Sus scrofa: one gene and its partners. The protein of the gene in region 2 interacts with the protein of the main gene of each other region in a pairwise test. Links are inferred from orthologs where the notes say so. Each region holds a gene or a part of one and is shown on either strand. Other genes may lie near its edges. The genes, in order: NME1, WDYHV1, baculoviral IAP repeat-containing protein 2, GNMT, KCTD9, XIAP and LZTFL1.

Region 1 (4,189 bases), on a different chromosome or scaffold from region 2:
TGCAGACTCGCCTCAGATCCCGTGTTGCTGTGGCTCTGGCGTAGGCCGGCAGCTACAGCTCCAATTCGACCCCTAACCTGGGAACCTCCATATGCCGCGGGAGCAGCCCTAGAAAAGGGCAAAAAGACAATAAATAAATAAATAAATAAAGTACTAAAAAGTAAAACCACCCTGGCCAGGTGGACTGAAGTACTGTCCCAGACTTTGATACATTTGAATGATGAACCAGTAGAACTTGTGGCCTTTTATGCCAGACGAGAGACCCCTGCCAAGATACCCAATGTCTTGGGAAACAGCTCTCTCTGTGGATCAATGGACTGTGCTGCTGAGAACACTAAGCCCCACCCCTGGGTGAGGGGGAATTACTCAGTTTCCACTGGGAGGCTGCAGCCCTGCCACAAGCTGGCCTGTTGAGATGTGCTATACCTGGAAGGGAACATGCACCTCTGAAGAGGGGAGAAGGAAGGGGTCCTGGTCTGGCATATCCCACGCCTACTCCATCTCCTCATGCCAGACAGGGCTGCCTGCCCTGGCCAACATGTATAGCATACATAACTAGGTCAAGTTCCTAGAGCTGCCAACCTCCCTCTCCTCCAGGCCAGATGGGCACATTCGGTTTCCCACTGGAACAATCATTTAGCCACCATTTTTGTCCCCTCCTTTGGCCTGACGGGCATTATAGCACAGAGAGAAGCCCTTACTAAATTCACCCAGCAAGCCTTAAATACTAGCCTGCAAAACCTGTCTTTATGGAACACTTTATCTTTAATGGCAAAAGCTGTCCTCCAAAGCAGGACATTATTACTGCCTGACAAAGGGATTTAGTAAATCAATGGTTCAGATGATGAGGCTCCTGGAGGAGAAAATTGTTATTATTTAGGGAATCGTCTTAATCCATGCGTCTCTTACACATGCCTCTATAATGCTGCTCTGACATCTGCCTCCACTGCAATCAGATGGCTGCCAAATGAGCCGCCTCCACCCTTTGCTGATCTCTCAGGGCACAATGCATCTGGGGAGTGGGGATGAGATTGTGAGAGCTAGTTGCAAGGGGTGGAGTATTGGAGGAGGTCATGGAGAGAATACGTCCCCAGGCAACTAGAGGCTCCTCACCTCTGTTTTTGAAAGGTACACTCTGCCTACTGTCCCCATAGTAGGGGCTGTTCGAAGGACAAAACATAGCCTTGAGAGAGTAAAGTGTTGTTGAGACCATCTGGACTGAATAGATGACTAAACCCATTTAAAGACTCTATGCATAACTTTTAAAATTCTGGTAGGTGACAGCAGCCACCTCAAGCTCCCTTGGTCATTATAACTGCCACCTATAATCTGGAGTGGTCTGCCTTTCTTCAGTCTCTCCTTGCCTTTGTGTGCAGAAGCCAGTTTTTTGTTTTTGTTTTTATTTTTAGGGCTGTACCCACCCTTCTAGCATACAGAAAGGCTAGAGGTAGAATCAGAGTGCAGCTGCAGGCCTACACCACAGCCACAGCCACACCAGATCCACGCTGCATCTGTGACCTACGCTGCAGCTTGTGGCAATGTGTATCCTTAACCCACTGAGTGAGGCCAGGGATCGAACCTGCATCCTTACAGACACTAGTCGGCTTCTTAAGCCACTGAGCCACAATGGGGACTAACATAAGCATCTACTGGGTACCCAATACTATGGCAGAACTGAGACAAGAAGTATTAAGAGAAAAAGAAAAGAATATCTTTCTGGATTATCCAGATGAGGGAAACTACAGTGATAATATGTGAGTGATGTCTAAAACAAGGCAGTATGAAATACAGTTTGACCTACTACCTCAGCATGCTATAACAGGAAGGAGTTTAGAGATTATTTCATTACAATCTTTTCTTTTACAAATGAGGAAACACATCTGGAGTACCAGAAGGAGGGTCACAATCCAGATTTCCCAACCCTCTGCAGCTTATGCTACATCACAAGATTAATGAATATTCTGACTAACCAATAAATGGTGGATTGTGGGAGAACTGTAGCCATGAGTAATATCTGTTGGAAGAAAGCCTAGAGACCACCTACTTCAGACTCTTCCTTTTACAGATAAGAAGTCTCAACTCAGGACCTGCTCTGCCTCCACAAGATGACAAAGGAGTCCCCTCACCTTGAAAGACAATCCCTATGTGGATAGCAGCACCACCTCCTGGCTCTACCTTCCTATAATTTAGTTGGCCTTTTATTACAACACCTTAACAATATATGTGAATTTTCTGTTTATTTCTCACAGGCCTGCCCCTGAATACAGAGATGATTTACTTCCCTAGTACCTAGTTACAGAGCCTAGTACTCAATAAGAGCAAAGAAAATGTCTTAAATGATAACCGCCCTGCACCTCCAAGAAAAAGAGACAAGGCCCAAGAACTGGCGGAGAACTCCTAATAGAAGCTACAGACAAGCATGAATTCCCTAGGAGAACATGGGGCTAAAGAGCCACAAACAGCAGTCCCTATACGTGTTCCCCACACCCACTCTTGATACATATCTGTCATTCATTCAGTAAGCACTGAGCACTGCACTCGATATAAACAAATAAGGCACAACCCTTACAGTCACGGACTGATGGGAAAAGCAGCCACGGACAAAGCCGAGTCCACGTGGCGCGGGACGTGAGCTGACAGGTTTGCACCTGTCAATGGGTGCGTCCCTCCCACCCGATCCCCCTGGCCACTTCTCCGAGTGGAACTTACCCGACCTCTTCACCTCCCCCTCCCTGGACCCCACTCTTCTCCCTTTTCTCTCAGGACCTCGAACCCTTCTCACCCCTCCGGGCACTTGGGCTTCAACTCCGTCGCCTGTCACCCGCACCGGAAACACGCCCCAGCTCCTCGTGGTTCCTAGCACCCGCTCGCGCGGAACGCTTCTGCGCATAATCGGCTGCAGGAGAGCCCATTTTGCAGAACACCACTCGCCTACGCTTCCTCCCGACAGTCGGATATCGTTCAAGGGAGCAACTTCCTGAAGTTCAACTTCCGGTACGGCTTCTCCCTATTCTTCTCGCACGCTGCAGCCATCTTTTTTTTCCCTTTAAGATCTGTGACTCACTTCCTTCTTTCGCGAGCAAACTGGCTTCCCGAGAGGTGGCGCTCACACTTTGCGTGAAAACTGAACTAGCGCCTGACCTAGAAGTAGTCAGTGTCCTCGTTTTACATTTGCTCATTCTTTCCAGCCTGTCAAGCAAATTATTTATTGAGTACCTTCTATGTGTCAGATATTGTTTCAGAGTCTGGGGTATAGCAGTAAACTTTCTTGGAACTTCTCGTGGGGTTGGGAATAAAGACAAACAATAAACAAATGAGCAAATTAACATGTAATATATCATAGTATGTAAATATTACTGAGAAAAAGCACAGCGAGGGGGTAGGGTAAAGGAGTACTTTAAATGTTGACTGGTGTGCTCTCTCAGGGGGTGACAGTAGAATAGACCTGCTGAAGTCAGATTACCTGAGAGCCAGTGGACATTAAGTGCTAGAAAATGCAACTGGAGAGCAGCAAGATTATGATGTGGTGGGAAGCCATTGGAGAATTTTGAGCAGGGCATGATATCATCTGATACATTTAAAAAAAAAAATCATTGCCTGCTGCAGGAGGAATGGCTGTGGTAAAGTACAGGATAGAATCAGGAGCCTTTTCAAAAAATGTGCTGGAGCACCTATAGGCAGAAAGAAAGTAAGAAGAAAGGAAGGAAGGAAAGAAAAAACCTCCACCTAAACCTCCCACTTTGAAAGAAAATCACTCCAGAGGGATTATAGATTTGTAAGTGTAAAACTATGTGGATAGGAGTTCCCTTGTAGCACAGCAGGTTAAGGATACAGCATTGTCACTGCAGCAGATTGGGTAGCTGCGGTGGCATGGATTTGATCCCGAGCTCAGAGAACTTCCACATGCCCCGGGTGCAACCCAAAAACCCCCAAAACAAAACAGGTGGCGGCTCAGAGAATTACAAACCTAACTAGTATCCATGAGGATATGGGTTCAATCCCTATCCTGGCTCAGTGGGTTAAGGATCCAGCATTGCCGTGAACTGTGGTGTAGGTGACAGACACAGCTCAGATCTGGCTTGGCCTTGGCTGTGGCTGTGACTGTGGTGTAGGCCAGCAGCTGCAGCTCTGATTCAACCACAAGCGTGGGAACTTACATATGCCGAAGGTGTAGCCCTAAAAAGCAAAA
Region 2 (3,508 bases):
AAAACCCAAACTTCAAAGGCATGGAAATATATCTAGCTGCCTTTACTTTCCCAACTGTGTATCAGGGGCAAAGGGTAGTTTTCAGAGACTGCCATCACAGCGCTCTCCACGGTGGCATCATAAGGCATCCTACTCACCCACCCCACACCATCCCACCACACTCCCCCCAAAAATAAGAAAAGGACAGAGAGCCCCACAACAACTTTCAGAAAAATGTTTTGGATCTCATCACACAAATTTTTAAAAGACTGCCAACCTTTTACACAACGGACAACATTTAAAACTTTAAAACATTTTGAATCTTCTATATAGCACATCATTCTCAAACCTCGACTAAATGGTGAAGCCCAGACAACTGATGTTTATAAAACCAATGCAAAAACAAACACACAAACAAAACAACTGAATATTAATTATTATCAAGGTCCGATTGCAGAAAGTTGATAAATCCACCTTGAATCTCCTCACCTTCTAAACTGCGGATGAATGTCCTCATCAGACTTAAAGGCATCTTCCACATACGTATCAAAGGGGCAGGGAAATGGCAGGACAGTGTCAAGGTCATAAATGAAGCTCTGTCCTCCACTCGACACATGAAGCAAGACAACATGGTAATCCTAGAAGTAAAAGTTGCTGAAATTAACCAGATTACCCTACGATCGTGTATTCCAAGGGTATACCAGTACTGCATACATATCATCAAAAATGGACAAGACAAATACAGCCCTCCTTATAACAGCAAATAAAGCAAACACAAAACCCTGAAAACAGGCCAAAAGTCCAGTGACGGGGAACAGGTAAGCAACCGGTGGAAATGTTGATGTACATTAAATGTACACCCTTGGCCTAGCAACTTTACCCTGAGGAATCCATCCTACAGAAAATCGGCCGTGTGTATGGAGAGGTATATATGCAAAGAAAATCTCTGCAGCATTGCTTATAACTGAAAATTCAGAAGCAACCAGAAGTCCACCGAGAGGAATGGTTCACAAACTACGGTGCAGCCATAAGATGGAGTCCCAGGGGGCTACTTAAAGGAGTCAGGTAAATGCGGAGTTCTCCAATGGCTCAGCAGGTTAGGGATCTAGCACGTCACTGCTGTGGCTCAGGTGCGATTCCTGGCCCGGGAACTTCTACACACTGCAGGCACAGCCAAAAAATAAAAAAATAGGTAAATTTATGTGAAAGTGGATTAAGTCCATGTTATACGGTTCGATGGTGGAAGCAAACTGCTGATTATTGTATTTTTCAAATGTATGTGTATACAGAGACAGACATGAGCATTCAGAAGTACACATGCACGAGTGTGAGTACAGAGAAAAAAGCCTACAAGGATATCCTCCAACCACCAACAAAGGGGACGGCTTATGGTGAGCCTGGAGAGGGGAAGAAAGACTTTAAAATGTTGTCACTATGGAAAACAGTATGGAGATTCCTCAAAAAACTAAATATAGAACTACCATATGATCCAACAATCCCACTCCTGGGTAACTATCCAGACAAAACATTCACTCAGGAATTCCCATTGTGGCGCAGCAGAAACAAATCCGACTAGGAACTAAGAGGTTGTGGGTTTGAACCCTCGCTCAGTGGGTTAAGGATCCAGCGTTGCCGTGAGCTGTGGTGTAGGTCACAGACGCACAGCTTGGATCTTTCATTAATTTGGCTGCGGTGTAGGCCAGCAGCTATAGCTCCGATTCAAACCCTAGCCTTGGAACCTCCATGTGCCACCAGCGGAGCCCTAAAAAAGCAAAAAAAAAAAAAAAAAAAAAGATAATTGCACCCCTATGTTCAGCACTATTGACAATAACCAAGACACAGGAACAACCTAAATATTCATCAACAGACAAATGAATTAAGAAGATGTGGTACATATACACAACGGAATACTACTCAGCCATTAAAAAAAAAACAAAATAATGCCATTTGCAGTAACATGGATTCAACTAAAGATTCTAAGTGAAATCAGAAAGAGAAAAAACAACCACATAGTATCACTTAAATGTGAAATCTAAAATATGGCACAGATGAACCCATCTACAGAACAGAAACAGACTCACAGACATGGAGAACAAACTTATGGTTGCCAAGGGGCAGGGGGGAGGGAATGGGATGGACTGGGAGTTTTGGGCTAGTAGATGCGAACTATGACACTGAGAATGGATAAGCAATGAGGTCCTACTGCACAGCTCAGGGCACTACACCCAACCTCTTGTGACAGAACATGATGGAAGATAATATTAGAAAAAGAATGTATATATATGTATGCCTGGGTCACTCTGCTGTACAGCAGAAATTGCACAACACTGTAAATCAACTACACTTTAATTAAAAAAAGAAAAAGAAAAATATCAACGGGTGTTTCACAAAGGAAATGCAAATAAACTAGAAGACTATGTACAGAAGCTCAATTCCATTTATATCAGAGAGAACTTTAAATCCATAATAAAACACAATTTTATATTTAGCAATTTGATAATAATTAAAATTAAATCAAAATCTATCTATACCAAGTATATGAGAGGGAGACAACAGAAGATTCCCTCCTACCACTAGTGGGAGTATAACTGGTATATTCATGCAGACTTTTATTTTGGGGCATTTCTAATAAAGATGAACATGCAAAAACAAAAAATAAAAATAAAATGTTGTTGCGATTGTTTTTAAACCAGCCAGGCCCTAGTCTGTAGTCATTACAGAAGAAAGACACAGAGCTTCTCCCGCACAGCTGGGTCCCAGTGCACGTGTGACTTCTCACTCTCGATGCCAGATGCCCAGTGCAGCCCACACCAGCTAAGGGCTGGGAGGCATGTCAGGGTGGTTATCAAGGGACATGCAATAGTCCGGTGCTCAGAGCTCCTTAGGGAAAAAAATCTCTCATAGAGAACAGTACTGTGAGATAAAAAGTTCAATCACATTAATACAACATCAGAAATACCATCTTACATTTCCAGTGCTTCGGAGCTCACAAAGCACTTTCTCAAACATTTCATTTGACCCTGTGAGGTGGGGCAGATAATTAATTGAGACTGGAGATGTTGTACCATCAGAGCCTAAAGTGCTTCCTTTGGCTCCAACTCTATCTTAGTAAAGCAGATCCAGCATCAGAAATGAACGCTTATTCCCTGTACTGCCCCTTAATGCATCCTACCCTCCAGATAAATGAACTAAAAGCTGCTCCCCCATAACAGTCCACAGATTCCTTCCCCTAGGCTTATTTGTGTTACTCCACTCCTCCTGCACGACCTCCTCCACTGCCCCTCTCCGTACCCATCACTCAAGCTCTGTCTGCTTTCTTCCTCATGAGCCCATCTGTGATCTTCTCCCGCCCCTGCCGGAGTCTCTGCCTTTCCAAAACCTGTCTCTCCCTTAACATCTTCTACTTTGTGTTGGTTTTTTTTGAACTATGTACTCCCTATTATTTATGACAAAGTGTGCTATTAAAGTACAGATATAGGAGTTCCTGCTGTGGCTCAGCAGTAACGAACCTGACTAGTATCCATGAGGA
Region 3 (4,084 bases), on a different chromosome or scaffold from region 2:
CTAAACAAGCATAGAATACCTAAATTATGCCTTTAATTTGCCTTTGGTTATAAGTTACAAAGCCTGGTTATAAAGCCAATTAATTATTATTCTACAAGAGGAAAAAAACTAAATGCAGGCTTCTTTCCCTACCAGCACTTTAGTATGATACTTTAAAAAATCTTTTATTCTAGTAAAAAAGAATTAAAGTCTCCATATGGTCGCATTATCTAAAAGCTAATTTCACAGTTTACCAACGCAGTATTTACTTAAGAAGGTTAAATTAGCTTCAGCTAACAACTTTCGGGGATGTCAATACCTACTAGCTTTCTTGAAGCCTGTGTGATGTCAAAGGAAATGAATTCTGCTTCCTTCAAAAACTGATAACTCTTCCATCTTTGTTAAATATTGTCTATATTTGTTTCCATTACCTGCAGCATCATTATGTTGTTTTTCTTCCTAACTTTGCAAACAGTTTATTACACTTGATCAATTGAGGGTATTTTCTCCATAAATTTAACTAGTTAACCATAAAATTTTCACAGGAGAAACTTTCTTAAAAAATTAACTTTTTTTGTTTAAGAATCATGCATGTATATTACTCATTTTGTAATTAAAGGTAAATATTTATCAAGATACAGTTTGTCCTTTCTAGTGTTAACACATAAGCCTAAGAAGATACTGCATTATCAACAGAATCACTATTCATGCGTAATGTACCAATAATTAACCCTACTAGCCTTCTTTCTGAAAACCCTTCATAAATTAAAAATATAATTCATACACAAAATTACATTGCACAGAATGCAAACTATATCCCTTCATAAAGTTTCTGAGTCTCCACAACTGGATTTATTACTTCAATGGGAAAAAATGAGAGGGCAAAAGTAGACTCTTCAGGACTGTAAATCTGAAAAGAAAAAACAAAAGCTATTTTAGAAAACCATATTCTCACAGTAAATACAGTTTATAATTTTCTCAATTTATTCAGTAAATTCTAAAAGTGACTTATACTTTAAATAATGCATCTTTTTTTTTTTTTTTTTTTTTTTTGTCTTTTGTCGTTGTTGCTATTTCTGGGCCGCTCCCGCAGCATATGGAGGTTCCCAGGCTAGGGGTTGAATCGGAGCTGTAGCCACCAGCCTACGCCAGAGCCACAGCAACGCAGGATCCGAGCCGCGTCTGCAACCTACACCACAGCTCACGGCAACGCCGGATCGTTAACCCACTGAGCAAGGGCAGGGACGAACCCGCAACCTCATGGTTCCTAGTCGGATTCGTTAACCACTGCGCCACGACGGGAACTCCTAAATAATACATCTTAATTCCAGCAATTTGTCACCAAAATTAATTGCAAAGCCTTTTAAAATAAATGCAGTATACTCCCCTTAGCAATAAGTACACATTTTTTTTTTTTTATGTACTACTTTGAAGACAGATGGACATAGTAAAATACTTCGCCCCTGGTCTCCTCCCCTATTCTTCTTCTTGTGTGTGTGTGTGTGTGTGTGTGTGTGTGTGTGTGTGTGCGCGCGCTTTTTAGGGCCACCCGGGGCATAAGGAGGTTCCCAGACTAGGGGTCCAATCAGAGCTATAGTTGCCGGCCTACACCACAGCCACAGCAACATCAGATCCGAGCCGCGTCTGAGACCTCCTTAACCCACTGAGCAAGGCCAGGGATCGAACCCACAACCTCATGGTTCCTAGTTGGATTCGTTTCCACTGCACCACAACGGGAACTCCTCCTCCCCTCTTCTGGTGACAACTTATAATTTAGTTTAAGGATAATTATCTATGGCAATTTGCTAGCGGTAAAAAGGGAGGGTGAAAAATAGACTGCACCCATCATCAACAGTACAGCAGTTATCCAGACAATAACGTTATTTCTTAATGTCAAGTCTCTCCAGAACTAGGCAAAAAAACTACTAAGAGTTAAAATTCACCAGGAACTCGTGAATACAATGCCTTCACAATTCCAAAGCAACAATTCGCAGAAAGCAACTCACAAAACAAAACACAGCACAATGGCCTATGAAACACTGGCCTTGGGAATGTGACCGCTTGAATGAATGCCTCCGTTACACAAGGACTTGAGGTCCTATCTTTGCATATTTTTAATCTGCAGGAACTGTACAGGATTTGCCCTCTTTAGGCAAACTGTGGCTGGGGGGAAGGGGAAGGAGACAGACTGCAAGGAAAAAGAAGAGAAATTATGGAATTTTATTAATTTCCCCGAGTTATTTCTCGCAATATACAATAGAATACTAAAGTGGCAAAGCGGGGTTGTACCTATCTGAAACAAGAGATCTCGCCGATACGTTACTGTCTCCGTTTGAATATATTAAATAAAGGAATACCGAGGGTTAAGTTTAAAACCCTGCAAAAACTCTTAAAACATCTTGGCCAAAGGCCAAGGGCCAGAAAAGTGAGAAGCGGCCAGAGTAGACTTGTAAACAGGTCAATTAAAAAAATTATTTTCGACAGCATGTCTTGGAACTGGAGCTTCCGAATTAAACAAAAGCATCTTCGACAGTAGAGTAGCAAAGAGCTAACTGCTACCTGCGACCCCCGACTCCCGGCCCTGTCCTCCCCAGCCCAACTGCAGTCTCGGGGAAGGCAGGCCCCGCGGCCTGCGCGCCCCGACCCAGCCCCGCGAGGCCTGGGTCCGGAAGGACCTGCACTCACCACAGGGCAGACGCGTCCAACACGAAACAGCAGTGCCACCAGGAGCCTCCACAGTCCCGGGAGCAACGACGCGGGCTGAACTGCCGGCTGGGCTGCGCAGTTAGAGCTCCTGGGGCCCCCCCCGCCCGCTCAGGGCCCACGCAGACGCACGATGACGTCAGCGCGCCGACCGGGTGCGCGTCACTCCCTCTGCGAGGGCGCCCCGGAGTCTGTGGGCGGAGAGCGGGACCCAGCGCGCGGTCAGCCCTCAGGGGAAGGCAGGGCTGGGCGTGAGCTTGGTGTGCTAATCTTCAATCTCGCTGCGAGAGCACTTTCCCTCGCTGTCCCTCTCATCCTCCTGAGCGGGACGTGGCGAGAGCCGTCGAGTTTGAATCTTTGGAAGCCCTGGGGAAACGCCCGGGCGCGGGTGGCGAACCTCTCCCCACGTCGACTCGCCGGGATTAGTTCCCGGCCGGATTCCTCCAATGGGACCCTCCCCTCGGCGTGGATGACGGCGTTTGAGGGTGGAGTCAGCCCGGAGGCGTTTCGGCTGCAACTAAGTAAACAGCTGTAACCATTTCCCCTTTGCAGCTGCCTGGCGTCAACCTTCCACAGCTGGCCCTGGGGATGGGAAAAAAGCCAAGTGTTGGAAAGCAGAACAGCCTCAGATTAATTTTGAAGCCTTGATTCTATAATGTTGGGGGGCATATCTATTATATAATCACTATCTTTTCTGTTTTTCTCTTCTGGAGACGAATGCATTAACGAAAAGTGTCCTATTTTCATCACTAGCAAAGTGAACACGGTGTTTCAGGCCAGGCTTCACTCCCCCTTTTTTCTGAATGTGGCTAGAACGGAATATATACATTTATGTAGATGTGTGTATATGTAAATCGTACACGAACCATAAAGGAGCCCATTTGTCCATCACATTTTAAAAGTTAACTGTCAGAAAAAAATTGTAAATACAAAATACTACCTTTACTAGTCAGGGACGTTTTCCAGCCCCCTCTTTAGCAATGGGGTGAAGACAGACAGTTGCATGCAGTATTAGTTGAATGGCGGCAGGAGAATTTTTTAATTTATGTTCTGTGAAGACACTCATTGTCAATGATATCGGATGCTTTCTTCTCTCAGGGGAACTCCAGGGGGCAAATATTTCAAAAAAAACTTCCAAATAACAAGCCACTTAATTAGGCAGCCAGGGGAATTCCGAGACCCTGAACCATTTCCCATTTCCTCCCCGTCATTTCTGCCTGCCAGTCAGTAACAGAACAGGAGGGCTTCTGTTCCAATGTTAATAGTAAAAGTATTTGTAACAGCTTGTGATACAGAGAAAAGAAATGCATGCTTGATTCCCAATGACTAAAAACTTCTTCCAAATATGCACATGAGTTTTGATAGTATTTCAGTGTTTAGTTCAAGTTACAATCTCTTGGGA
Region 4 (4,006 bases), on a different chromosome or scaffold from region 2:
TCCCTGCCCCCAGCTGCAGCCCACCCCTTCCCACACCCCCGGATCTGCACTGGGGGTTGGGCTCCGTGTGGGGCTTCTGGTCCCCTCCTCCACAGACGGAGCCTGGCAGCGCCTGGGCAGAGGGCAGTGGGAGCTGAGGCCTCACTCAGTCCGTCTTCCTGAGCACGTGGATGAAATAGCAGGGAATGTAGGCCTGGCCCGGCTTGTAAGGCTTGAAATCTCCTAGGACACTGTGCTGGCACTTGCCCCCGAAGGCTGTTTGTAGCAGCTCCGTAAAGGATGCCAGACAGTGAGGGTAGTAGGAGAGCCGGAACTTACTGCAACAGAGCCCCCGACCAACCATCAGGACTGGTGTGTCAGCGCCCCCTGCCCAAGCCCCTGCCTCGCCAGTGTACCTCAAGCCAGGAGAACCTCTGTGGCCAGTCCCCGGCACCTGCACCGTGTAATCGAGGGTCACCATGTGAGCCTTGTTGTTCACTGTCAGCACAGATGTCGTGATGTCCTTGATCAGGTCACTCTGCAGGTGGGAGTGCCAGCTGTGTTAGCTTCTGCAACTCTGGTGGGGCCCAGAGAGCCCACCTCCCACTCTGGGCCCTCCCTCCCTCAGGGGCCCCACCTTATAGTAGATGTTCTTTCCTGGGGGTGCACAGCCTGTGCTGAGGATGTGGTCGTAGTTTCGATGATCAATGACCAGCAAGCCCCCTGACCGCACCATGCTTGTGATGTTTTTCAGGGCCAGCCGGTGCTCACTCTGGTCCCCTGAACTCCAGGAAGGGTAGAGAGGCTGCGTCTGCTCAGGGCCCGGGCACCAGTCTCCCTCCCATCTTTCTCCTTCCCCCTGCGTCTGGAAAGGGTATGGTTCAAAGCAGGGTCTACGCCCAAGGCCACACCCTCTCACCTCTGCAGTCTGGCAAGTGGGCAAAACTGTTTCCAAGGCAGATGACAGCATCGAAGCCACCCATTGGTGACTTGGGCACATCTTTGTCTAGAGTCATCCAGTTGGCTTCTTCAATGACTGGGGGCCAGGAAAGGGAAGAGGGAACAGGCTGGTACCACAGTACAAGCAGCACCCGTGTCCACCAAGTGCAGTCTTGCCTCTCTTTCCCCTTCTAGATACACACAGGGCCTCCCCAGGGGAGGGGATCCCGAGGGAGGGGATCATCATGGACATGGAGGGTGAAGGAGAAGAGGGGTCAGGGGAATAGGAAGCTGTGGTGGGGAAGGAGGGCCCTGTGCTTATGGGTTTCTTTTGGGGGAGAAGGATAAGATACTATAAAGGTAATTAAAACTAGCATAGTCAATACCTCGTTCTTGTGCCTAAGCCTCCCTTTTTAGGGATTTTACTGTCCCCCTTGAGGAAAACAAAACCCCCCACCACAGGAGCTAAAGGAGCCAGAGCAGAGAGAACAGTGTCCTTGGTGGCTGGGCCGAGGGGACCTGGCTGGAGCTGCCTACCCCACTTGTCGAAAGCAGGCTCATGCCGCCGGTTCCAGCGCTCTTTAAGTGCATACTTGAGCATCTTGTCACTGGCATCCACACTTGTCACACTGAAGCCTTCTTCCACTAGCATGATGGAGTCCACCCTGGGCAGGACCAGAATCCCAACAGGCAGAGAGGGGTGGTCAGGGAAGGCAAGGAGGAGGCCCTGTGCCGGACACTTCTGTCTCCTCAGGTCCTCAGAGTCCATTTTTCTGCCTGTCCCCAGGCTCTCTCCACTGACCTCAGTGACCTGGCATATCTGATTCTCATCATCAGGTAGCACCCTTTTTGTGTTTTAGCACCTATTCCAAGTCAGGCATTCTACAAATGCACATGAATCCTCATTGCAGTCCGGTAAGGTAGATGGTCTTATCCCCATTCGAGAGATGGGGCAAGCTGAGGCTTCTGGATGTTAAGTAACTTGAGCACAGGAGGCAGTGTAACATGGGGGTTTAGAGCACAGGCCAGACCCTAACCCATCTGGGTTTGCATCTCCTCTCCACCTTTATCTCTCTGAGGCCAAATTCCTACAACGGTAAACAGCTATCACTACCCACCTCATGGGGTTTTGTGAGGATTTTAAAACCTCATGTATCAAAAGCACCTGGTACAGTGCTTTGGCAGGGGCACATGTTAAACAAGCGTTAACTGTTAACGCTGCCGGAGGCCATCATACCGGGGAATGACCCTGGAATGACCCTGGAGCCGGGTTCCAAGCCCCAAAGCCTGGGTCCTTGCGCCGCCCCAGCGAGATCGCCTTCTCCACCCACAGTGCCCACACCCTCGCTCTCACCCTGGGTCTCCTCGGCCCCCTCCTGCCGTCGGCCTCGCCCTGCTCCTCGTTCTGCCTGGGTAAACACTCATTCCTGGCCCCTGGCGTCGCGCCCCTGCCTGGCTCTAGGTCGGCAGCGGCGGAGGAGGCTGCCCGACGTGCCCCGCTGTGGTACTGCGGTCGGGCGACCCCGGCCGGAGCAGACCCCGTCCCCCGTCGCCTGTGTCCTCCCGGCTCCTCTTTCCCCCTGGCCCCCGGATGCCTGCTCATCCCAGGTCCCTGGCTTCCGTCCGGGCTCACCCGGTACCACAGGCCACGTCGAGGACTCGCTGGCAGCCGTGCTGTCGCAGCAGTCCGAGCAGCCAAGCCTTGTACTCAGCCGTGCGGCTGCGGGTGTCTCCGATGTACAGCTGCCACACGCGCGCCGCCTCTCCGTCCGCGTACTGGTCCGGGAGCCCTTCAGCCGCCACCCCCAGGGAGCGGGTCCGGTACACGCTGTCCACCATCCTGCGAGGCGCCTGGCTCCGCAGCCACCCGCTCTGCATTTATAATACGCCCCTGCCGGCGGCCCCACCTGCCCAATGGGAGGTGAGAGCGGGGACACGCCCCTGCTGGGCCCTGGGCCCGCAGCCGCGGCTGCCCGGGTAGGCACGCTGGGAGGGCGCTGCCTGGCAATCCTAGACCAGCCCTTCCCGCCTGCCTGAGGATCCTGCCCTGTGGATGATCCCTCGGCGCAAAAGGACCTTCCCAACCCCTGCCCACTTAAGCCAGGTCCCAGGGGAACCTAGGAGGGGTCAGAAGGGGGAGCTGGGGAGTTCCCGTCGTGGCGCAGTGGTTAATGAATCCGACTAGGAACCATGAGGTTGCGGGTTAGGTCCCTGCCCTTGCTCAGTGGGTTGAAGATCCGGCGTTGCCGTGAGCTGTGGTGTAGGTTGCAGACACGGCTTGGATCCCGCGTGGCTGTGGCTCTGGCGTAGGCCTGTGGCTACAGCTCTGATTCGACCCCTAGCCTGGGAACCTCCATAAGCCGCGGGAGCGGCCCAAGAAATAGCAAAAAGACAAAAACAAAAACAAAAACAAAAAACAGAAGCGGGAGCTGGAAAGAAACTTCACAGTCCACAATGAGTGCCCAGGGCAAAACCGTCCCTACTGGGGGGGGAGGTGGGGAGGTAGGGTGGGGGTTATTAGCATATATAAAGAAGGGCTGCCCCGCCCAAAGAGGGCCTGGTCAGCCAGCGAAGGGAGGGATGGGAGTATCTGGGGATGATGCTGGCTTGGCCATCCAAGTCTAGGAGCAGTTCTGGCCCAAGGGGTCATCCCACCCATCTGGGGGCAGGTGCTCCTCTGTCCTGTAGCTGATGCATCAAGCTTTTCCCTGAGCCACTTGAGATGGAGTCTGATTCCAGTTCCTCTCTAACCAAGCACCCCACTAATGGCTGCTTTCCACAGAGGTGCCCACAGACTGGGCAGTCCAGAGTGAGGGGTGGAAGTGCTTGCTCTTGCTCTTATATCGCTCATTATCACCTCATAAATTGGTCATTTGGTTTGGTTAGTGTCAGCCACCCTCCTCCCCAAAACAGGTCTCTTCCTGGACAAGACCCTGGACTGAGATTCAGGAAGGTGGTGCCACCCAGGGAAGCCCAAGACAGCAAGAACAGCCTTCCTCACCTATCTTTTGGCTTCAGAAAGTGCCGAGGTATGGAATTTAGAACAAAGGAACCTCCCATCCGCTGCCCCTTTTACCATCAATAGAAT
Region 5 (4,069 bases), on a different chromosome or scaffold from region 2:
TAAAGCGAAATGTGGGAAACAAAGCGGATCTCATACTATAAAGCAAGGCTTTTAAACCTTAGCGAACATCAGAATTGAACTGGGCACCCTATTAGAAATGCAGCTTTGCAGATTCTCAAAAATTCTAATTCAGAAGATCTGGCTGGGCCCGGGAAATCTGCACTTTAAAAAGCAAAGGGGTGATCCAGAAGAACACACCTCTGAGAAACATGCCAAAAAAAAACATCTCTGCGGTAGCACCGTCCCTGAAATCCCACCCAGGCCACTCGCCTACCTTTCGCGCCCGCAGCTCCGCTCTCCTCCGGTCGGGTTTATTTTGAGCGCTCCACCGATGAGTGTCGTGCGCTCTAGACTTCGGCTCTTTGGTCCTGAAGGGTTCGCTCGAGAAAGCAACTGTCGGCCGCCAAACCAGCAGCGAGGAGGCTACCTCGTCCCCCGCCGCCGACGCTCGGATCCCCAGAGCCGGCGTAAACCTGAACCCTCCCCTCCACCCGGCCGCGGCCCGCCGCCCGATTCAAATCGCCAGCCCCGCCTCCTCGTCGTCCCGGCGTTGCTCTGCGAATCTCTACGCCGCCGCCATCCGCACGTGTGCACGCTCACCCCGAAGGCTCCCAGGTCTTCACCTCGCCGTCCCAGGAACAGGTGTGGCTTCGTGAGCTCGGAGGGACATCACCGCTAGCTGCAGTGACACAGTGACCAGGGAAACCAGCGATTGACCTCCGTCCGTGGAGACTACTTTCTTGAGAGTCTCGCGGAGGAAGCCTTCGGTTATGGCTTGTAGCTTAGTTCCCGCTCTTCCGATTGGATGCTGCAAACTTCGAAAAGAATCATTGGGCCAATCCTGACAGAACAGTCGGCTGCTCTTACCCAATCAGCCAGTCTCGACGGCAGCCGTTTCCTGTGTGCGCTGACAGAGTGGGAGGGGTTACAATAGGAAGGCGCTGACTGGTGTGGCTCGCTTTCAGCGCTCCGCCTCCTTCCATCAACCTCCGCCTCTGTATGCAGATGAGCTCTACCTGGTCTTGGCTTTGCGCCTGCTCAGTAACGCTTTGAGCCGCCGCTTGGCTCCTGGTTCAGCTCTGATTGGCCGATAACCCTTCTCCGTAGGCTAGACAGCAGTCTCTGTTCCCTCCTTCCACCTGGGTTGGGTTAGTAAGAGCCCGCCCAGTGCAGCGCGACGATTGGCTGAGTTCTGGCCGGCGCGGCCGGATGATTGGCGAAGCTTAGAGTCAGTTTGGGAGAGGTGGGGGAAGGGCCCCAGGCTGACTGAGGAGCCCAGGGGCGGGGTGGGAAGGAGGACCGGCCAACCTTGGGGTGTGGGACGGAGAGTGCGTGCCTGTGTGTGTGTGCGTCTGTAAGGGAAGGAAGGTGGCGAAGGGAGGAGAGTCCGAGTGGGTGGCGGGAGGGGAAGGGCGGGAGAAGAAAAAGGTGGGAGGAGAGCCAGGTGGGAGGGTGGCGACTCACTCAGGACCCAGTGGGGGCAGCGCGATGAGGCGGGTGACCCTGTTCCTTAACGGCAGCCCCAAGAATGGAAAGGTAAGGGGGTCGGGAGGAGGCGAGGCGGGCCCGTCTGCGGGGGGCGAGGGCAGCAGAGTGCGGAGCGGGCTCGCAGGGCAGAGGGCTGAAGTTGGGGAGAGGGGCTGGGAGCGGGGAGGTGGGCGTGCTCCGGGGTTGGGGGGTGTCCTGGAGAAGGTGTGCGTCGGGTCCCCGCGGCCTCCTCTCAACCTCGGGGATCCCTAGCCTGAGTCTGCCCTTGGACGCCCCAGCTGATATGGGGACCAGCGCAGGTCAGCTTGTGCTTAATGGTTCCTAAGTCCAGGTGGGGGTCCTGGAGAACAGAGGACCGCTGTCACCTGAGCGCTGGAGACTTCTATTCCTCTTCCCATCTCCCCCGATACCCCGCTGCCCCCCACCCCTGGCTCCCGAAAACGCTGGTTCCCACCTTCGTGCTGAGTAATGGTCTGCTCCAGAAAGTGGTGGTAACAACTAAGGCATGGGACATTAATCAGGTGAAAAGAATTAAACTCTTTTTTATCGGTGGATAAGTAAATCCCAGATCGAATAGAAGGATTGAAAATTAGTGACATTTTCCTGATGGTCCCCCCAACCCGCCCCTCTTTTAGGAACCCCAGCTCCGCCGCCGCCAAACTTCTGTACTCGCTTTATTAATCCACCTAATTTCATTTCCTTAGAGGACTGGGACAATAGACCAAAATGGGTTGATTTGACATTACTCTTTGCTGTGTTAGGCCTTTGTTGAGGGTGTGGTGCTAAATATTTGTGCAGCGCTGGAGCTAGCCAAAATGAATCCTGTTCCTTCTCAGCCTCTTGCCCCACCCATGAAAGTTGCTCGGCTTCTTTGGAAAATTTGACTGTTCAAGGCAGACATTTATGGTGTGGCTAAATGACGTTTAGAAATAACTAAGCCTTAGCGTCCGAGGTGAAGGTAGATTGCCCTCACTGTCTTATTTGCGAGAATGCTTTGTTTCCTGCATATTTAGGGAACATAAATTTTTAAATGTTGTCATTGTGCCAAGGTGAAGAAAAAAAAAATAAAGGGCTTTTCAACTACTCTTCAAGCTTGAGTAAATGTGCTCTAAAAATCTGAACCACACCCTAGTTTGTTGGCTACAGTTTTGCGTTCTTCTGGTCTTAGAGGTTTGATACTCATATGAAAACAACTGGCATAAATTCAGGATCCTGCATTTTCATAAATGCTACCTTAAATAGGTTTCACAGGTTCATGTTATTTCTGACCATTATTAACTTTGTCGGTACCTATTTTGTCTGTTGATAACTACCACTCGTAATCTAAAATATGTATTGTTACTAGAAGAAAGATTTAATATCTCTAAAGTCACACTTGTAATTTGTTCTCAAAAATAGACCTCTGACCCTTTTATTCAACATCTCTCCTCTGTTATTCCATGAAAGACAAGATGTTTGGACCCTGTCCTAAATATTTAGCTATTCTCTAAATCTCTTCTGAAGCTACTGAATTTTGTTCTTGTCAAAAATCAGCTGGCTTGGTCTTGCCATATTTTTAATAAGGTTTTTTTTTGTTTGTTTGTTTGTTTTGGAAAGCTCTCTAGTTTTGACTAGGTTAGTTTTTTGGATTTAAATTTTATTTGCTTTAAAAACATTTTGTCTGAGAATCTTGGAAGACTGGGCAAAAAAAAAATCCTCAAATAATTTAATATATTTGTTACAAAGATCATGCAAACCCCACTGGAGAATACCAGTATGATTCGGTATTAAAAATAAGTCTGACCATAATCCTTACTACTTAACTGGAAAGCATATTCTGCGCCAAAGTTATCAGTGTTTCTCCTCTGATCCCTTAAGCTGATTAAGAAAGTAGTAGTATAATTACTCTTATTTGACAAAAGAAAGCAGAATAAAACATAACAGCCTGCTTTTTATATAAATAAAGGAACTGTATTTAGCCAAGATTGGCATGGTGGTGACATGATTTTCATGAAGCTGAAACGACACACTACAGCGATAGAGTTTGATTTCCTATCCACCAGTTGGAATATCTGTGTCACTTTCATTATCTCCTTATTTGCCTAGCTTCTGTGTTTGTTTCCTGGGCATAAGAGTAATGCCTGTTTTTGGGTGGTTTTTTTTTTTTTGGTTTTTTTTCCAAATAAGTTTTTCTCCTTTAAAGCTTGTTCAGTGGTTGCCGGGCCGGTTGTGAAGCCTGGGTTTGGGGAGGCACAAAGTCACCCTGAGGGCTACATCATATGCTCCCATGACTTTTCCATATCCTGAGTAAACATAAGTGTAACTGGTGAATGTTTTCATGTTGAAGAGCGAGCTGTGCATTTTCTAAAACTGCTTTCTGGGGTGAGATGGTCCACCACAGGGGGTGTGCAAGAAGTTCTAGGAGAGTTTAAGAAGAAATAACATATGCCTTACCTGTATTTTTTACTTAAAAATGCAAATTAATGCTAAGACCGGATTTTTTTCAATCTGGAAAGACACACCTGCTTTTGATGTGTAATCACTATGTCAGCTGGGCCCAAGTCTTCTGAGAGAAGGGAATGCATTCACATGTGAAAAGAGT
Region 6 (4,264 bases), on a different chromosome or scaffold from region 2:
TTCCCTTCATATTCCAATCCTCTTCCCGCTCCCACTGGCTCCCTTTCTTTTTCCTTTCACCTTCCCTCCTTGGACACAGATCATATCCTAATCTCAGTTCCCTTGGTTTTTATTATTATTATTATTTTGCTGTTTTTAGGGCCATACCTGAGGCATATGGCAGTTCCCAGGCTAGGGGTCTAATTGGAGCAGCTGCCAGCCTACACCACAGCCACAGCAACGCCAGACCACAGCCGGGTCTGCGACCTACACCACAGCAATGCTGGTTCCTTAACCTACCGAGTGAGGCCAGGGATCCAACCCGCATCTTCATGGATACTGGTCAGGTTCTTAACTCGCTGAGCCACAATGGGAATTCCTCAGTTCCCTCGTTTATTAGCTGCGTGCTATGGGGCAGTTAGCCCCTCTCTGGGCCTCAATTTTCCCGTTAAAGTGGTGTTACATGAGAGTGCCTACCTTAGAGGGTTGTCAAAATTACAACAAAGAACAGGTCTCATGCCGACCACAGTGATTGGTCTACAGTAAGAACTCAACATGTTCGCTCTCTTTATCTTTTCATTCTTTTAACTCACTTCCCCCACTCCTCCACCCTAGAGCTCATCAGGTAAAAACCGCGGGAAAAAACACCTTGAGGCACAAGAGGAAATGCTTGACCTGGGGGCGGGACTTGAGGTGCCCATTGCGCATGCGCTCGCTCTTTCAGGTCCTAGTATCCAGCTTGTGGGGTGGGGGGAGGGTAATAGGGCCGCGTTCCTCTGGGTCGCCCCCTTCCGGCCGAAAAAAATGGCAGGCCTTCAGCGGCTTCGTGGACGAGCTCAGGGCTAATCGAGGGAGGCCTGGGCAGGAGGGGTAAATTCGAAAATGGCGGAAGGGGAAGGAGGAGGGGCTTTGCTGGGCGGGGGCAGAGGCCAGGAGACTGCGCGGGCGGGCGCCGGGGGCGGATGGGCAGTGCCGTGTGCTGTGTCTCTTTGAGGCCCTGACGTGAACGCACTTTGGATTCCCCGACTCGGGGTTCCTCCCGGGGATAGGCGGGCTGCTACGTGCGAGCTGGGGAGACTAAGAGACTTCCGTTTCCTTCTAGCCGGGGCCTGGCCTCCGGGAGGAGTTGGCATTTCCAGATTGGGGCTTGGGCCGCCCCTCCTCCAGGACCCTCCCCTCAGCACTGCGCGGTGCGCCCCGGGCGATCCAGGCCGGCTCTCAAGGCGCGGTGGGTACTGCCCGAACGGGCTTCCTCCTCCCTCCCCTTTCCTTCTTTTCCCTCCCCTCCCTCCCTCCCCTCCTTCTTCTCCCCTCCCTCTCCTCCTTCCCCTCCCTCCCCTCGGGCCCCGCGCTGCGGGGAAGGGCGGAAAGGCAGCCCCTGCCCGGCGCGGGTGGCCCGCCCGGGACTCAGTGCCCAGGTTCCCTGGACTGCCGAAGAAAGGCGTGGGTGGCATCGGGCCGCCAGGCTGCCTCCTTAAACCCATGACCTCTAAGGTAAATCGAGTCAAAGAACTTTTTTCTCTTAATGATCCAAGGGACACCCCCCCCCCAATCTAATGCCTGCGGCAGGTATGGAGCTGGGTGGGGTGTGTCTGGCGAGAGTGTGTGAAACAGAAAGAATAGGAGCCAAGGACCTTCCGGAAGAGGAAATTAGCTAGTAATTCTTTCCAACCTTTGCTACCCTCGTCACCTCCCCAGCATATTCTGTGAGTAAAACAAAATTCGGTCTAACTTTCAGTTTCATTATTTTAACTCCGTAATACACTTAATTCTTTTCGTTTCGGGAGGAGGGGTTATTGCTGAAACTAAACGACAGCCCACTAACCCTTCAGAAAAAGAAAAACGTCAATCAAAGCTTTGTAAAGACCTATCAGATTTTAATAATCTACTACTTTGTTTTAAAATGTAATTACATCACTATTTATGTCACAAATGTACTACTTTTGTAGTTAATGACACACAGATATTTGCTCTAAGATTGGAGGTTGCTATAGTGTTTGTTTCTTGTCTTTTTTAACTTAACATTTGTTATATCCAGTTCAAGAGAACACTGTTACAGACGGCCATCTTAGAATTATAACATTTTAGAGTTGAAAGGGATCTTAGTTCAACCGCGGTATTTTACAAAAGCAGAAACTAAGGCACAAGAAGATTTCATGGCTTGCCTGAGGCTACTCCATTACTTAGATTAGAACCCAGGTTGTCTGGCTCCTGGCTCACTGCTCTTTCTGCTCAGCTGCTCCACATAGCCTCCAAGCAAGAAAATTAAAACGTATTCGGTGCACATTTTGGAAGTATGTACCACTTTGTGCCATACAACTGTGCTGCCTACTTTCAACGTATTTAACATGTTTATGAAGCCAGTGCTTGAGGTATTTTTCCCCGTCGTTCAAGGAATGGCAAAGATTTAGGTTAAAAAAATGTATACATAGACAGGCCTACTTGTATATGCTCAGATAATTTCTTGAATGGTGCACAAAAAAAAATGTCATCAGTGGTTACTTATGGAGGGTGGAGGGGGTGGGAGGCTTTTTACTTGCACTTCACATGTGACCAAATGTATCGTTTGAATTTTTTACCATAAACAACTATTGATTTTATAACTAAAAACAAGTTTTAAAGTTCACACACACGTGTGTATCAGTATGAACAAGTACCAGTGGTGTGTGTATATATGTTTATATACCTATATGTATTTAGGTATCAGTGGTTTGTACTGTAAAATCCAGATTGGTTCATTTCAGCCCAACTGGCAAAGCAGGCCAGATTATTGGATGCTAACATTTCATCTTTGGTTTTCTTCTATTGATCCTAATGTAAGAAGGTAACAATAATATATGTTATTAGTTTTTATATATTTTTAGGAGATGTGCTAAGCTTTTGATTATTGAATAATGTAGCAAATTATAACATTCAGGGTATCAAATTTGACACAATGAAAAAATTCTGAATGTGGAATCTTTGTGGATAAAACTCAATAAAAAATTTAAGACTGGAAAGGTCCCTGGTAATTAATTGTTCAGCTCTTTTGTTTTTATGAAAGGTTAAGACATAAAGATGAAAAAGGAAGTTGCCCAAGGTTATATATTTGATTATTAACAGAGCTTGGATTAGTGTAGGTCCTAGTCCAGGGCTCCTTGTACTACATCTGCAGTTTTATCACTTTCTAGTGCATTCATCTAGGGGGATGAAGTAATCTGACTAAAGATTAGTCCAGCCCATTTCAGTAGATAAGTATTATTGCAATTAATGTATCAGTTTGTATAATGCTTGAAATATTTTAGTAATGTAAATATTCCCCTTATATTTGGTTGTAAGCCTTCACTTAAGAAGTCTTTTATTTAATTAATAAATGCTGGAGTTCCCATCGTGGCTCAGTGGTTAATGAATCCGACTAGGAACCATGAGGTTGATCCCTGACCTTGCTCAGTGGGTTAAGGATCCAGCGTTGCCTTGAGCTGTGGTATAGGCCAGCAGCTACAGCTCCAATTAGACCCCTAGCCTGGGAACCTCCATATGCCTCAGGTGCAGCCCTAAAAGGACAAAAAGACAAAAAAAAAGTTAATAAATGCTTAGAGACCCCAAATATGAAATAATTTATATTTCACTGTTTTGGGTTTTTTTTTTTTTTTTTTGGTCTGGTAGTTGGTGCTAACAGGGGGAAAAAAATCTATGATTTTTTTTTTAATTTATTGAGCACTTACTATGTATGCCAGGTATTACACTATGTGCTAGAATTCCAAAGATGAGTATGGCAAAATAGATGCCCTTGTTCTTTTGAGGACGGGAGATTATCATGAGCTGTCAGTTCTAAAGCTTTGTCTCTGTGGTCTGATCTGGTAATAGTATTACAGTGTAATCTGTAACACTGTTTAAGGTCATTGTGTGAGCAGATTTGAGGAGATAAAAACAGTAGTGGTAAAATAAGTTGAACTGAACAAAAGCTATTCTTAAGAGGTCATGAGGTTTGGTGGAAAGAGCCCTTGATTGGAAGCCAGGGTTCTTGTGTTGGCTTTGTTTCAGGTAAACTGTGTAATTATGAGCAAATCACTCAACCTCATTGCCTCCATATTTCTTTTTTTCTTTTTCATAACTTTTTAAATATATTCCATTTAATTCAAAACATGAAAAGAGCAATTGGAATATTACATCTTTTTTTTAAGTGGCTGAAGATACTCTTTTATTGAATAGGTAGCATCATAGGTATACAGGTAGATATTAAAGTGTTTAACATTGGTTTTGTTTTCCTAAGTAATTCCCCATTATTTATCATCTTAATATTTTA
Region 7 (4,010 bases), on a different chromosome or scaffold from region 2:
AAGTTCAGGAGAGTCTTCCAGAAGACACTGGAATTTGGGCTGGGCTTTAAAAATGGGTGGAAGAGTTGTGGGTGGATGTGATAACTGAGGAGGAGAAGGTTGTCCTGAGCAAGGAACCAGAATTTTCATCCCATGAGGCAGTAGAATTTCCAGAGATGTACTTTAAGATTTGTCATTATTTCAAGGGTCAAATTGCAAAAAGAGATATACAACGATGGAGTAAATATTCTAGTGTTTTATTCAGGAAGGTGGGCCTTCCTAGATCTGTGCTCTCTGTTAAATGTTTACCTGGATAACTGTCAATGTAAAGGTGTTCACCAAATGCATCTCATCTTAGAAAATGGGAAACAGACCTAAATTTTCTCAGGAAATTTTGCCTACAAAGGTGGAGGCTATCTTGTCCCTTTGGAAAGCCTGAATGGTTCAGTACAAGCTGTGTTCATGGATGGAAGTTTTCTCAGTGGAATGCGTAAATAGAAGGAATGCAAAAGGAAATATCATTCTTGGTCGGTTTATACTTGTCTTTCCTGCTCTGCGTTTCAAGCTCCTTGAAGGATAGAATCTTTACTCTGTGATCAACCTGAGCTCCCCCGCAAGGACTGTGCTATAATAAGCTCTGAGCAATGTTTGCAGAATTGAACTGAAGTTAAATAGGAACATCTGCACGAACATTTGTGAGTTCCTAACGGGTTCCAGATACTGTGGGTAGTGGTGGATTTTTTTTGGCTCTGGGCATGCCTTCTCTTGGAAAGTGTATCGTATGTTATTGAACATTCAGCTATCCCTATTTCTCATATTAAGTGTAATTCTGTGATGGTTTATGTAACTTTTATAAGTCTTTGAGAATGAATTATTTACTTTTTGTAATTTAAACCTTACATTTTTATATAAATACAAATTGCATTCTAGTTGATCAGTTGACTTAATGGTACATTTTGAAGATATTCCATAAAACTATTATTAATTTAGATTTTGCGGTTTTCTTTTCATATCTTGGGCTTACAGCATATTATATTTTAGTATATATTATATATAACAATGGAAATATTTACTTCCGATCTCACATATTTTATGGCCTTATGTATTAATTGCCTACTAGATGTTGGGAAAGCAAAGAGGATTGAAATGAGGTCCCTGCTCTAAAGGCCCCTAGTTGTGTAGCAGGGGAGAGAGACCCATTTAGAAGGCCACATTCACATGATGTGGGCACTTTCTGGGAAACTAGATAAGTGGCACTCAGTTCAGTATAGGACTTCAAGGAAACCACTGAAGAAGATCCCTGATCTGAATCTTTAGGGACTGGCAAGAGTTAGCCTAGCAAAGCAAGGCAGAGTGGGCAGAGGGAACATAACAAACCCATAACAGTCTAATATGTGAATTCCTAGCAAAGCTTAAATAATGTTGCCAAAAGTGTCACTGCTTTGCCAAAAAGATTGCTGAGTAAGTCATGAGTAGAAAAACAAACTACCTTTACTGGGAAAATAAAATAACCCATCACACTAAAAACCAAAGGAATATAAAGATAAGTTATATCTCTGTATCTGTTATTGTCTAAAAAGGAGTAAAGTGGGACTTCTGAGGTCTAATATGATGGTAATATTGTTTCATGATCTGGGTACAAGTTCTCTATTTTTATTTTGTGAAAATTAATGAGCATATATACATATATATGCTCTTACATATATAACTTCAATAAAGAGTTTGAAAAGTTAAATGCTTTTATAGGGATGCATGCATTTGTGTATAAATACATCAACTTAAAAGATTTTAAAAATGCTTAAAAAAAAAGGTTATATATCTGGCTTACTGCTACCATTGAGGCTAAGACACCCACCAAAGGTATTGGTGTTAACCTAAGGGTGTCTTTCCAGGACCAGAGTGTCTTTATCTGAACTCAGTCAGTGCAAAGCTCCCCCAGCACCATCAGGTACAGCAGAGGAAAAGGGTGGTGAGGACAGGTTTATTAAATCATCCTAGGAGTTTCCTGGTGGTCTAGAGGGCAAATCCTGGTTGAGGATTTGGTGTTATCACTGCTGTGGCTCAGGTTCGATTCCTGGCCTGGGCATGACAAAAAAAAAAAAAAAAAAAAAGAATTCATCCTCAACTAAACCTGTGGAGGGCAACTCTGAACATCTAACACTCACAGAATGGTAACTTTTGTGAATAGAAGTGGAGATAAATGGCCCCTAATTGTTCTTATCTGATACAACTTGGTCTTATTAAAAACAGTGGAAGTCAGAAGGCAAACATTAACAGCTGCGTGTATCAGACAGAAACAGTTTTGCACCTTAACAGAAAGTGTGAATTTCTATATTTTATTTTATGTGAGAGAAACCATAAAAACCAGAGTTAATTTTTTTCTAGGATCTCTGCTTGTATCCACCCAAGAAGGTTCTGTCTGTGTGTTGAGAGACTGCCCATGTGCCCAACGAACTTTTCCCTTAGAATTTACAACATTGTGAAGATGAAGAGTTACTTCTTTAAAATGGATATATATTTTTAAACCCTTTATGACTTGAGTCAGCATAACTCTCATTTTTTGCACATTTAACTGTGTTTCAGTAACAAATGCTTCACATTGAAAATGCAATAGTTAGTTTAATCCTCAAAGCAACCCCAGGAGATAAATACTTCCTTCTTCCCACCACTGCTCCCCTCAACACATACACCCATGGAGGGACTGGTAAGCCATGCCCCCTTCACAGTCACCTGCTGACCCTCCCTCAGCAGGTTTTGTTTCTGGTTACCCACTGCCACCTGTCCTCCATCAACCATCTTCCACCAACCTCTGGATCCTTCATGCATTCAAGCACCTCGAGGCCTGTCACATCTGCTCCAAGCTCTCTCGCCATCCCAGAGGAGGACCTGGCCAGCGCTCCTTTGTCCTGGCTCTGCCTGCTGCTATCTGCAACCCTGAGCTCTATTTCACCTTAGCACCTACCCCGCTCCCCATACCTCATCACAGCCCACAGCTGCTTTGTTGCTCTGCTGACATCCTGAAATGAGAAGTGACCCTCTCTGATCATCACCAACCATCTGAGCTGCTCCAGCTCCTTCACTTTCCTCAAACCCTGCCTCTGACCTGACTGTGACGTAACTGTGAGCTTGTGGACCTCCTATTTTCTCCTGCTCTAGCGTCCCTTCTTCTTGACTCACTTTTCCTAGTCCAAGGCTAGACCTCCAGGTCATCACTCCACGAGGAAATGTTTCTATTTCTCACCAGTTGCCTCCGTTACAACACTAACTTTGACCAACCTTAAATCCATCCAGCCAGCCATTTTTTATTGTTGTTGTTCTTGCTCGCAAACCAAAGAATTCACAAAACTAACTGAATTTACTTTATAAAAGTTTTTTTCAAACTTTTTTTTCAATTTCCTCAGGCCTTTACAGCTGCTTAGGCATTCTAGGTGAGCTGTTGTTCCACATAACCCAAATGGCTGTCCCCTAAAGTTTCCTGGTCCTTAAGCAGCTCCTCCTCCCTCCTCTTCCAACCCCCAGATGACTCCCTTCTGCTCATCTACAAGGGTAAGCTCCCTCCATGTCCCTGCATTTCTGCTCAAATTTTTCTTCATCAGTAAGTGAGGAACTATTAAAATTATTGACAATTGGTATTTCCTAGGGCATAAGGAAAAAAGACATGCCTGAAAATGTTGGTAGGAGGATAAAGATGTAATAGGTCTTCTTTTTTCAGAGGACACACTGGAAATCAAAACTGAAAATGCACACGCCCTTTGACCCAGTGATTTGTCTTCACTTCTAAGAATCGACTTAAGAAAAAACAAAAGTGCAAAGATGTACATACAGAGATGTTTACTGCAGCTTTGATGTGGTAAAAATCTTGAGATGATTTAAATATGTCACTTTTAGGGGAATGACTGAAAAAGTTATGCTGCAATAAAGTGGAATTTTTTTTGCAGCTTCAAAAAAGAACCAGGAAGAATCCATGTTCACTGATATGAAAATATATCCATAACATATAATAAAATGACAGAATCAAACTGGGCAATAGT

Evidence for each region.
Region 1: the proteins of WDYHV1 (region 2) and NME1 interact in binary tests that used the Homo sapiens proteins (3 or more experiments, as listed by UniProt). The two-hybrid records come from large-scale screens. The link is inferred for Sus scrofa from reciprocal best matches to the Homo sapiens genes NTAQ1 and NME1.
Region 3: the proteins of WDYHV1 (region 2) and baculoviral IAP repeat-containing protein 2 interact in binary tests that used the Homo sapiens proteins (3 or more experiments, as listed by UniProt). The two-hybrid records come from large-scale screens. The link is inferred for Sus scrofa from reciprocal best matches to the Homo sapiens genes NTAQ1 and BIRC2.
Region 4: the proteins of WDYHV1 (region 2) and GNMT interact in binary tests that used the Homo sapiens proteins (3 or more experiments, as listed by UniProt). The two-hybrid records come from large-scale screens. The link is inferred for Sus scrofa from reciprocal best matches to the Homo sapiens genes NTAQ1 and GNMT.
Region 5: the proteins of WDYHV1 (region 2) and KCTD9 interact in binary tests that used the Homo sapiens proteins (3 or more experiments, as listed by UniProt). The link is inferred for Sus scrofa from reciprocal best matches to the Homo sapiens genes NTAQ1 and KCTD9.
Region 6: the proteins of WDYHV1 (region 2) and XIAP interact in binary tests that used the Homo sapiens proteins (3 or more experiments, as listed by UniProt). The two-hybrid records come from large-scale screens. The link is inferred for Sus scrofa from reciprocal best matches to the Homo sapiens genes NTAQ1 and XIAP.
Region 7: the proteins of WDYHV1 (region 2) and LZTFL1 interact in binary tests that used the Homo sapiens proteins (3 or more experiments, as listed by UniProt). The two-hybrid records come from large-scale screens. The link is inferred for Sus scrofa from reciprocal best matches to the Homo sapiens genes NTAQ1 and LZTFL1.

What each region holds. Positions count from the first base shown.
Region 1 is NC_010454.4:27,415,050-27,419,238, reverse strand, and holds the start of NME1 (nucleoside diphosphate kinase A), read right to left. Parts: upstream 2,803-4,189; 5' UTR 2,710-2,802; intron 1-2,709. UniProt on the Homo sapiens protein: Major role in the synthesis of nucleoside triphosphates other than ATP. The ATP gamma phosphate is transferred to the NDP beta phosphate via a ping-pong mechanism, using a phosphorylated active-site intermediate.
Region 2 is NC_010446.5:15,985,430-15,988,937, forward strand, and holds part of WDYHV1 (protein N-terminal glutamine amidohydrolase), read right to left. Parts: intron 618-3,508; coding exon 469-617; intron 1-468. UniProt on the Homo sapiens protein: Mediates the side-chain deamidation of N-terminal glutamine residues to glutamate, an important step in N-end rule pathway of protein degradation.
Region 3 is NC_010451.4:33,040,325-33,044,408, reverse strand, and holds the start of baculoviral IAP repeat-containing protein 2, read right to left. Parts: upstream 2,803-4,084; 5' UTR 2,665-2,802; intron 2,168-2,664; exon of another isoform or gene 1,986-2,167; intron 890-1,985; 5' UTR 774-889; exon of another isoform or gene 1-773. UniProt on the Homo sapiens protein: Multi-functional protein which regulates not only caspases and apoptosis, but also modulates inflammatory signaling and immunity, mitogenic kinase signaling, and cell proliferation, as well as cell invasion and metastasis.
Region 4 is NC_010449.5:38,037,153-38,041,158, reverse strand, and holds the start of GNMT (glycine N-methyltransferase), read right to left. Parts: upstream 2,801-4,006; 5' UTR 2,758-2,800; coding exon 2,552-2,757; intron 1,584-2,551; coding exon 1,456-1,583; intron 1,308-1,455; exon of another isoform or gene 1,016-1,307; coding exon 899-1,015; exon of another isoform or gene 760-898; coding exon 617-759; intron 518-616; coding exon 396-517; intron 318-395; coding exon 146-317; 3' UTR 1-145. UniProt on the Homo sapiens protein: Catalyzes the methylation of glycine by using S-adenosylmethionine (AdoMet) to form N-methylglycine (sarcosine) with the concomitant production of S-adenosylhomocysteine (AdoHcy), a reaction regulated by the binding of 5-methyltetrahydrofolate.
Region 5 is NC_010456.5:9,514,882-9,518,950, reverse strand, and holds the start of KCTD9 (BTB/POZ domain-containing protein KCTD9), read left to right. Parts: upstream 1-1,264; 5' UTR 1,265-1,488; coding exon 1,489-1,536; intron 1,537-4,069. UniProt on the Homo sapiens protein: Substrate-specific adapter of a BCR (BTB-CUL3-RBX1) E3 ubiquitin-protein ligase complex, which mediates the ubiquitination of target proteins, leading to their degradation by the proteasome.
Region 6 is NC_010461.5:101,398,716-101,402,979, forward strand, and holds the start of XIAP (E3 ubiquitin-protein ligase XIAP), read left to right. Parts: upstream 1-1,461; 5' UTR 1,462-1,473; exon of another isoform or gene 1,474-1,685; intron 1,686-4,264.
Region 7 is NC_010455.5:29,002,439-29,006,448, forward strand, and holds the start of LZTFL1 (leucine zipper transcription factor-like protein 1), read right to left. Parts: upstream 2,808-4,010; 5' UTR 2,802-2,807; coding exon 2,787-2,801; intron 1-2,786. UniProt on the Homo sapiens protein: Regulates ciliary localization of the BBSome complex. Together with the BBSome complex, controls SMO ciliary trafficking and contributes to the sonic hedgehog (SHH) pathway regulation. May play a role in neurite outgrowth. May have tumor suppressor function.